Macaca fascicularis: one gene and its partner. The protein of the gene in region 2 purifies or fractionates together with the protein of the main gene of each other region. This does not show direct contact. Links are inferred from orthologs where the notes say so. Each region holds a gene or a part of one and is shown on either strand. Other genes may lie near its edges.

Region 1 (5,354 bases), on a different chromosome or scaffold from region 2:
TATCAGAATGTAAACCCCGGAAGGGCAGCTTTATTCCCTACTGTACGTCTAGTATCTAAAATAGAGTCTGGCACATAGGAGGTGTTGATAAATATTTGCCGAATAAATAAATCAAGACTATAGGATTTCATATCCTGTGTTCCTTCTAGTATCCTGAACTATCTCAGACACAACTAAAATATCTGGCATATGAATATAATCAGCAACCGTGTGTCCCACCCCAGACTCTATTCCACCCTTAGGTCCTACTTCCTTTCCTGACTCCTCCACTTCTCAGCTACACAGCTTTGGCCACGTTATTTATGGTGCTTCAGTTTCCTCATCTGGAAAGTGTGGACAAGGACAGGACCTACTTCAAAGAGTGATTATGAGAATTCAATAAGATTGTCAGTGTTATTCCTCTGCACTGTACCTAGCATTGAGCAAGCACCCAGTAATTTGTTATTCAGATGGTTTAAGTCAGAGGTTGGCAATTTTTTCCCTGCAACGGGCTAGAAAGCAAATATTTTAAGCTTTGAGGGCCAGACCATCTCTGTTACAACTACGCAACTCTGGGCTGTAGCACAAAAGTAGTCCATAGGAGCTTCCAGACAGATGAACACCTAGTGGCTCCTAGAAGGTGGAATGCCCAGGGAGGACATAGAAGCACCACACATCTTCCCCCAAACCTCACCCTATGTGTGTCTTCATCTGTATCCTTTGTAATATCCTTTAGAATAAACCGGTAAGCTGCCTAGCTCTGATCCTGGCACAAAAACAACTCCCTACAAATGTTTGCTGGTTAGTGGATGGATGGATGGATGGAAGGATGGAATGATAGACAGCTGAAGGAAGTGATCCTGGAGTTAAAAAAAACAAACTGGCTGGGCACAGTGGCTCACACCTGTAATTCCAGCACTGTGGGAGGCTGAGGCAGGAGGATCACCTGAGATCAGGAGTCTGAGACCAGCCTGGCCAACACGGGGAAACCCAGTCTCTTCTAAAAACACACACCCAAAAATTAGCCAGGGGTGGTGGCCTGCGCCTGTAGTCCCAGCTACTCAGGAGACTGAGGTGGGAGAATTGCTTGAACCCGGGAGACAGAGGTTGCAGTGAGCCGAGATCACGTCAGTGCACTCCAGCCTGGGCAACAGAGTGAGACTCCATCTCAAAAAACAAAACAAAACAACAACAACAAAAAACTATGGCCATATCTGTTCCCTCTTCCTGGGCAGCTCTTTCCCACCTTCTTTCCATCTCTTCTTAAATTCTGCATCCTCAGAGGGGCCTTGCCTGATTGGCCTACTTAAAATGGATCTGCCCCACCCCACTTTGTACTTGCTGTGCCCTCTGCCTTTAGGTGTGTTCTCAAACTTGATCTCAACAAGGCCTCCCCTCACCACACTTTAAAACTGCATCCCCCAGGCCGGGCACAGTGGGATTACATGCCTGTAATCCCAGCACTTTGGGAGGTCAAGGTGGGTGGATTACCTGAGGTCGGGAATTTGAGACCAGCCTGACCAACACGGAGAAACCCCATCTCTACTAAAAATACAAAATTAGTTGGGAGTGGTGGCACATGCCTGTAATCCCAGCTACTTGGGAGGCCGAGGCAGGAGAATCGTTTGAACCCGGGAGGCAGAGGTTGCAGTGAGACAAGATCACGCCACTGCACTCCAGTCTGGGCAACAGGAGTGAAACTCCGTCTCAAAAACAAACAAAAAAAACCCCTGCATCCCCCATCTCTCTTATTTTTATTTATCTCCCTACTGCTTATCTCCAGTATACTCTGTTTATTATCTCTCCTCACTGCAAAGTAAACTCCCCTACTGCATGCCAGTGCTTATAACAGTGACCTGCACAGAATAGAAGGCCAATTCAATATGGATTCACTGCCACAACATCCTGTTTGTTTCCTTCCCATCACTTTTCACACACTCTGTTGACCTGTTTCACACCTGAATCCTGTATAGCAACTGGTGTCTCCACTATATCCCCAGCATCATACCTGATACATGGCACGTGTTTACTGAACAAAAGAATTCATACAACCGCCCTACGAACTAGGTAATTATCCCCATAAAAGAGAAGAGGAAATAGGCTTAGAGAGATTAACTAACTTGCGCATGTCAATCAGTGAGAAGTGGAAGGGCCAGGAATACAACCACAGCCGGTCTGCCCCCAGAAACAGTGATATACCAGGAACCTAGGAGGCGGGACCCACGTTTGGCAGGTTACCCAGTGCACCTTGTTCAATTTTATAAATGCGAAAACTGAGACCTAAAGGGAGGATGGGACCTCTTTAATCACCACTCCCAATAATCACAGTTAATATGTATCAGGCCCTTACAACAGGTCTGACACCATTCGACTTTTTATTTGTGCCATAATTCGTTCAGTCCCTCACAAGTCCCTCCAGCAAGACCAGGACTACAATTAGCCCATATTTTATGGAACACGGAGGCCCAAAGCGGTGAAGTAATTTGCACAAGGTCACACAGCGGGTGGCAGCCCTGCTCAGAGCCTTGGGCCACCGCATCCCATAACCAGGAATGTTCATCCGGGCTGGGCGCCGTGGCTCACGCCTGTAATTCCAACACTTTGGGAGGCCGAGGCGGGTGGATCGCTTGAGGTCAGGAGTTCCAGACCAAGCCTGGCCAACGTGGCGAAACCCGTCTCTACTAAAAACACAAAAATTAGATGGGCGTGGTGGCTCGCGCCGGTAATCTGAGCTACTTAGGGGGCTGAGGTGCGAGGATCGTTTGAACCCGGGACGCAGAGGTTGCACTGAGCCAAGATCGCGCCACTGCACCCCAGCCTGGGCGACACAGGGGCTGTCTCAAAGAAAGAAAGAATGAAATGTTCATCCACTTAGCAAATCCTTCACCCCCTATCCTGATCAATGGGAGGATCTGGGGAGATGGGGAAGCGGGTTTCTACAACGTAATTCGTTCTTCAATTTGGCTAGTCCCCACCTTTGGTGGGGGGGGGGGGGTGTTTTTGCGTCCCCGTCCTCTCAGGACACCTAAACCAAAATGAGACGTGGAGAAAGAGCAGGAATTGGGATGGCAGGCCTTCGCCTCTCGGTCCCCACTTGGGCCAGCAGTCGAAACCCAGAAAAGAAAAAAACCTTCCCAGGTCCTGACCCATCAGGCGGCTCTCCCCCACTCGGAGCAAGTCACGAGCGCCCCACATCTCCAAGGGGCCATTCAGAGGCCGCCGCCAATCACGGAGCCCTCCTCTCTCCCGGACCCAGTCCGCCGACCCCAGCCCTGGCCGCAACCTCCCAGGACCGCGGATCGCGGACCGCGGACCGCCGCGCGCACTGAGCAGGCCCGGGACCCTCGAGGCTAGCGCAGGCCCCCGCCCTTCACTGGGCCAACACCCAATCGAGGGCGCCGTCTCAATGAGTCCGGGCACCCGGGGAGATAAGAGACGCACGTTGATTGGCCGCCGCCCCTTCCGCCACTCCCAGCGAACGCTGAGTCTTCTCCGCGAGGGCTGCCCATGCCCCCAGGTACCCCTCCCCGTCTTCCCCAAGTCCCCCGTAGCCTCCGTACCTGAACGTCCTCGTTGCGGAGTTCGTCTATGAGCACCGCGATGGGGTACAGCGAGTCGTCGCCGTCGGCCGCCGCCATCTTGGCTCTGTCCCGTTCCTGTCAGACTGCGGCCAGCGCTCTGCTGAAACGGGGGGGCAGAGCTGGGAGGAGGAGGAAAAGCACGCGTGGGGGCGCCCGAACCAGTTTACAGGGGCTGCTCCACGGCCATTGGCCGCGCTACGCCGGCCTAAACCCGCGTTTCTTTGGTCCGGACTAGTGAAGTCCCGCCCACTTCCCATTTGCCATTGGTCGAGTGAACGAGATTTGACTAGTTTGAGCCTAGGGGAGGGGGAAGAAAAGCGGAAGTCAGCCGTGTCCTAGCGACCAAGATTGAACCCGCCTTCGTCGCTGCTAACAACGACCGGGACGAGCAGTTGTTTCTAGCCAATGAGGGGCGATATGGGGAGGACGCTAAGCCTGACCTTTGGTGGGTCCCGGGGATGGTTTCTGCGCGTGCGTAAGTGGTAATACGTGACGTCATGTGGGGAGCGGGAGGGTGTGCAGGTTTTGGGTTACCAGGCCATGGTTCCGCTGGCTGGCAGGCTGGCTCCCCGCGCCTTTGCGCGGCCGGAGGAGGGAGTGAGACTTTTATTTGTGTTTGATTTATGCCAAGGCCCAGAGAAGGGAGCGGCTTGCCCTGCTGTCTCTCTTTTTCTTTTTCTTTCTTTTTTTTTTTTGCCTTTTTAAAGACAGGGTCTCGCTCTGTTCCCCATGCTGGAGTGCAGTGGCGCGATCTTGGCTCACTGCCGCCTGGACCTCCCCGGGCTCAAACGATCCTCAGGCCTCAGTCTGCAGAAATAGCTGGGATTATAGGCTCGCGCCGCTAGGCCCGGCCAGTTTTTTAAAGAATTTTTGTGGAGACGGAGTCACTGTGTTGAGCTCAGTTGCCTTGCTCTTTGGATGAAACCCAAGTTCCTCGGGCCGGTATTCAATACCTTGTCTAGGCGCGTCTCCCGCCTCCGTTTTTTACCTTTTGTCTGATGTCCTGGAAAATCAGAGCTGCCTGAGCACATCTTGCGTTTTCGTGCCAGCAAGGCTCCTTGCCCAAGCTGTACGTTCTGCCTTTCTTATTCACTTCTCAGATCTCTGCGTAAATGCTCTTGTTCTCTAGGCTTCCAGAGCCACCAGAACCTCTCTCTCTGTCTCTCCAATCCCATCTATGTGTCTCAATCCCAGAGCCTGGGCTGTGACTATGCATTCGAATCTGTTTCCTCCATAGAGTGGGAGCAGGATTGGATCTGACTAATCTCTGTTTTTAACCTCTTCAACAAAGCCCCACCCCCACCGCAATCTTAGGACCACTCTGAGGGAGTTGGATGGGGATGGTAAGGCCTGGGATGCGCTCTCTTCCTTTATTCTACTACTTGAAGTGCTGGGCTGAGCTAGCACTCTGGCAGCTCTGAATACCCACAGCATCTATTTTTTCTTTCCTTCTTTCTTTTTCTTTCTTTCTTTTCTTTTCTCCTTCTTCTTCTTCTTTTTTTTTTTTTTTTTTTTTTTTGAGACGGAGGCTCGCTCTGTCGCCCAGGCTAGAATGCAGTGGCCGGATCTTGGCACACTGCTGCCTCTGCCTCCCGTGTTCAAGCAATTCTCCTGCCACAAACTCCCGAGTACCTGGGATTACAGGCGCCCACCACAACGCCCGGCTAATTTTGGTATTTTTAGTAGAGACGGGATTTCACTACTTTGGGCCAGGCTGGTCTCAAACTCCGGACCTCAGGGTGATCTGCCTGCCTTGGCTTCCCAAAGTGCTGGGATTACAGGTGTGAGCAACCG
Region 2 (5,380 bases):
TTTCACAATCTAAATTTAATCCATCTGCAAATCCTATTGGTTCTAACTCAACACATAGCCTCAGTCTCTCTACTTCTCCCCATTGACACTGCTACAACCCTAGTCCAAGAATCTTATCTGTATTGTTGCCATAGGCCCTGAATTCATCCTTCTGCCTCCACTGTGGTCCTCTTTCAGCCTGTTTTCCACAGAGCCTAAGTGATATTTAAAACATAAACCAGATAATATCATTCCCCTGCTTAAAACCCTCCAGTGGCTTTTCATCATACTCAGAATGAGATCCAACTCTTACCCTCTGCTAACACTCGCCGCTCTTATGCTTCAGCAGCACTGCCCTTCTTTCTTTTTCCGCTTACTCAACAAACTCATGGCTGCCTCGGGCCTTAGCACTTGCTATTCTCTCTGCTTGGAATACTCATTCCCCAGATGTCCACGTGACTTGCTGCTGCTTGTCATTTAGATCTCAGCTCTAATTGTCCGCTGCCTTCTATCAGTAGTGCTCCATCACACCATCTTGTTTTTCCTAAGGCTTTACCACTATCTGAAAATAGCCTGCGTTTATTTCTGTATTTTCCCCTCAGTAAGAATTAAAAGTTCTCAGACTAGGGCCCATTTCCTAGCAGTGTTTGGCACATAGTAAGTATGCTGGAAAAAAAAAAAAAAACCTTGACTGAATAAATGAACAAATAAATTCACTTTTAATGAGCTATCAAGGTTTCATATTAATTACATGAGCCAAGAATAGTGTTTTTATTTTTAAAATGTGAGGACCTACTGGTTTTCCTTTAATCCTTCATACTTCACACATATGCTTGTGCTGGAACTATGACTGTAAATCAGTATCAGTACCATCCCCGGTTTTGGCTTTTTCCCCTAACCTAAACAGTTCTCATTTACTTTTCTCTCCATCTCCACTTCCACAGTCACCTTAGTGCAAATTACCATCCTCTCTGGCCTTTTTTCTGTAAGGTTTTAATCTCCCAGTATTTGTTCTCCAGACTGCAGGCCAGTGAGCTTTTCAGTTGCTATTATACCCATGCTTGAAAACCCTTTAAGTTTTCATTGTTCTCAAGATAAAGACCAGAATGTGGTCTGGTCCACCACCTCACGTCACGCCAGCCCTCACTCTCCACTCCAGGCCACACTTTCTCCTCCCCTCCTGGTTCCCGCCTGCCACCTGGCTGGGTCGCCCTTGCTTCCCGCTTCCTGCGAAGTTTTACATCGCACCCATTTCGCCCACTTCTTCGGATTTCAGGACACTGTTCCTTCCTCGAGGAAGCCCTCCCTGATTCGCAAGCGCCACTCCCCGTCATACAGCCCCACATCACCATGGGCCTCTCTTTCAGGGCTTTGTTCGTTTTATAAATATGTACTCCAGAATATGACAATCTTATTGACGTTCGTCAATGCCAGTTTGCGCTCAATAGCTATTTGCTGAAGGAATATACGGACTAGCGGCCCGACCACTCCTCGCCCCTCCCCTACCACTGCCGCGCAGATATTACGCATAAAGCAGGCGCCTCGAGGACGGACATCGCGAGCGCCTGCGCGAAGGGGTACGCATGCGCAGAGGGGCCAGCCCGCTGACAGATTCTCGGTGGCGGCGGCAGCGGCGGCGGCCCTGGACTGCGGGGAATGGGAATCCTAGGTCCCTGACTGAGCACCTCCCCCGCCTCCCTGCCCCCGACATGGCTCAGGAGAAGATGGAGCTAGACCTGGAGCTGCCTCCGGGTACGGGCGGGAGCCCGGCGGAGGGCGGCGGCAGCGGCGGCGGCGGGGGCCTCAGGAGGTCTAACAGCGCCCCCCTGATCCACGGCCTCAGTGACACTTCGCCGGTGTTCCAGGCCGAGGCGCCGAGCGCCAGGCGGAACAGCACAACGTTCCCGAGCCGCCACGGCCTGCTGCTACCGGCCTCCCCTGTCCGCATGCACAGCAGCCGCTTGCACCAGATCAAACAAGAAGAGGGTATGGACTTGATCAACCGAGAGACGGTCCACGAACGGGAGGTGCAGACCGCAATGCAGATAAGCCACTCCTGGGAGGAAAGTTTCAGCCTGAGTGACAACGACGTGGAGAAATCCGCCTCCCCCAAGCGCATCGATTTCATTCCTGTGTCACCGGCACCGTCACCCACTCGGGGAATTGGGAAGCAGTGTTTTTCGCCATCCTTGCAAAGTTTTGTAAGTAGCAACGGATTGCCTCCAAGCCCTATTCCCAGCCCAACGACCCGATTTACCACCCGGAGAAGCCAGAGCCCCATCAATTGCATTAGACCAAGTGTTCTTGGACCATTGAAAAGAAAATGTGAAATGGAAACTGATTATCAGCCAAAGAGATTTTTCCAGGGCATCACCAACATGCTTTCTTCTGACGTTGCACAGCTGTCAGATCCTGGTGTGTGTGTATCTTCGGATACCCTTGATGGAAACAGCAGCAGTGCCGGATCTTCTTGTAACTCACCAGCGAAAGTCAGCACTACCACCGACTCTCCTGTGTCACCTGCCCAAGCGGCTTCTCCATTTATTCCACTAGATGAACTTTCGTCTAAGTGATTCACTCATCCTGAGACTTTCTTTTTGCAGTGGAGAGAGAGAATAATCAAGTTGGGGCAAACACTGAACTTTGTCAATTAATTTGAGGCTATTTCCTATTCGACCCCTTTTCTTTTTTGAAATTTCCTGAAATGATGTTATTCTAGAGAACTTCTATGTCAGGTTCCTGCGGATACCTTTGAATTCAGTGTAGTAATATTTTCAGACGTTTCCCCAATAAGTGTGTTGAAGCATACATCTTTACGCTGCTACTATGTCTAAATACATATGTTATCCCTTGATTTTTTTAAATAATTGAGAGCTCTATTTATTTATGGGATTATTAAGTTCTGATGAAAATATAAATGTTGACTTAATCAGCATAGTAAACTGATGTTTAAAATTCCATACTTCATGCCCACACTAATTTTTAATGTTATTTTCAGTGGTTTGCCGATTTCCATTTGATGAAGAACTATACAGCTTAAAAAAAAAATACGTTAGTTATATCAATCTAGTGGTTGTCTGTTTTACCCAGGAATTCTTGGATATTTAGTTTTCTGGGTACCGAAGTGGGTGGGAGGGGGAATGATTAGAGAACAAATTATAAAAGTTTGCAACAAATCCTTTCAAATTAAGTATATAAAAGTAAACTTTTAAGGAAAACATTTTTAATGAGATTTTAATAGTAATTCTAGTCAGTCATACAACTATATTATAGAGAAAATAAAAATTTTCCTTTTTTTTTTTTTTTTTTAACCAGAAAGTGCATTTGCTTGGGTGCAATCCTAAAGTGAAATGGGACAGTGCCTTGCAGTCTTTGCCCACTGTACATAGGCTAAGGCTAAGCTCTTTGTACTACTGCAAACGTAAAAGTTTTTCAAATGTAGAAAATGTGTGGGAAGGCTTGTTGAACTTTGGCGCGCCCAGGTAAACAATACTCTCTCTCAATTGTTGATATACTTTAAAATATTCAGTTGTGCCTCAGTTCCAAAAATTATTGCCAACCAGGAGCCAGAGCAATTTTTGGCTACTTTTCTGCTCTGCCCATCTGTCACCTTACTGGTTTTCCCTTGTTCAGGAAGGAAGCAGCTGTTTCCTTGCCAACAGGTCCCTTCCTTCATCTCCCACCAAAGTAGGGCACCATTGATTAGACAAAGGTACAGTGTAACTTGGATTTCTGACAGCAACAACAGGACTGAATTGTTTAACCTCTGTGGTTAAAGCTACAGCTTGAGTTGACTGCCTTGGGGATGTCCATTAATTAAGGGGTGATGATTTGCAAGAGAAAATTAGTGGAGAGTCACATAGGTAAATCATTATTTAACTTAGGTTTTGCTAAAGGTAGAATAGTCGAATGTTCTTTTCTTTGCCTTTACAATTAAGACAATAAGAATAACAAAATTTTCTTAATATTCTTCCTTATACCTCATATAGCTTCCTTAACTAGATAGTTTGACAGAAAGAATGGCATACAAAGAGGAAAGGGGAAAAATGACTCAGAACAAGACAAAAGCTCTGACTTTTTAAAGTTATCACTTACAGAGACTAACAATTTTGTGGAATTTTTACGACTATGAAAATAAATGGAACTGGTCAACTCTTGATGGTTGCCTCAAGATGGAGTGAAATTGCATTGAGGGTAAGACTGTGTCCACAGGTTTAAAATTCTCTCTTCTGAGTAATAGTGTTCATGTGCTCCCATTCTCAACCTTGTTCTTCAAATTCAAACTTAAATAGTCTGACTTCTTGTTGGGTAACTTGCCCTGCCTCCAGAGGTATTTAAACTTCATTATCTTCAACACAGAAATTGTTAATCTTCTCACTTCACCTATTCTTGCATTATCTCAATTGATGTCATCACTAATTTCCTAAACTAGAAATCATGGAAGCATCTTTGACTTTTCCTTTTCTCTGTTGGATTAGCTTAATCACCAAGTCCTGTCAACTTCTGAAATGAATCTCAAATTTCTTCCCTTCTCTATCTGTTGCCCCTGATTTTGCCTTAAGTTTTTGCCTGAGTGATCTCCCAGGCTGTTTTCTGTCTCCTTTTGGTTCAGTCTTTATACTGCCTCTTGAGAAATCTTTCTAAAATTTAAACTTGATATTTTTCACCCTCTTGCTTGAAAACTTCATTTGCTTCCCCATTTCCTACTCTTTAAGGAATGATTTCTTTAGCCTCAGATAGAAGGTTCTTTATGATCTGGCCATATTCTGCAATAGCTTCAATCCTCTCCTCATCTCTGTTCCCGTATATGTCTGTCTTTCTTATTCTACAAACATTAGACCACTTGATATTCTTTAAATATGTCATACTTTCATGTATCTGTGCTTTGGGATAGATTGTTCCTTCTCCCTAAAATGCCATTCCTATCCTTTTCAGGGAGGCAAATTGCACGTGAGTTTAAGTAGAAGGCAATGTATACCTGCTGATTATAAAATATTTAAACAGTGTACATATGTATGTGGTTTTAAAAGTCTGCTTTTAACTATGTAAAAGTCATCTTCCCTTTCAACAGGTAACTTCTGTTAACAACTTGGTATATATTGTACAAGATGTGTTACTGGCATTTCCATGTATATATGTATATAAATGCAGGAAACCAACATGTCCTTGATACCTCTCTTCTTTTCTTTCTCCCATGTCTAATCATTCCTCAAGTCTTACTGATTTTATCAGCTGGAATCTATCTCCTTATTTCTACCTCTATTGCCACTCTGGTCCCGGCTACCAGCATTTCCCTCTTAGACTCCTGAAGCAACTTGCTAACTCCCACTTGTGCTCATCACACTCACTCTGGTCGGCTATCCTTTCATTCTCTATACAGCGCCTAGAGTCATCCTTTTAA

Evidence for each region.
Region 1: the proteins of PABIR1 (region 2) and PPP2R1A purify together in Homo sapiens (affinity purification with mass spectrometry; 4 studies listed by BioGRID and IntAct, counting the BioPlex papers as one, with this or other methods). This does not show direct contact. The link is inferred for Macaca fascicularis from reciprocal best matches to the Homo sapiens genes PABIR1 and PPP2R1A.

Annotation. Positions count from the first base shown.
Region 1 is NC_088393.1:59,956,531-59,961,884, reverse strand, and holds the start of PPP2R1A (serine/threonine-protein phosphatase 2A 65 kDa regulatory subunit A alpha isoform), read right to left. Parts: upstream 3,668-5,354; 5' UTR 3,618-3,667; coding exon 3,540-3,617; intron 1-3,539. UniProt on the Homo sapiens protein: The PR65 subunit of protein phosphatase 2A serves as a scaffolding molecule to coordinate the assembly of the catalytic subunit and a variable regulatory B subunit.
Region 2 is NC_088389.1:99,502,653-99,508,032, forward strand, and holds PABIR1 (PPP2R1A-PPP2R2A-interacting phosphatase regulator 1), read left to right. Parts: upstream 1-1,588; 5' UTR 1,589-1,688; coding exon 1,689-2,552; 3' UTR 2,553-4,135; downstream 4,136-5,380. UniProt on the Homo sapiens protein: Acts as an inhibitor of serine/threonine-protein phosphatase 2A (PP2A) activity. Inhibits PP2A activity by blocking the substrate binding site on PPP2R2A and the active site of PPP2CA.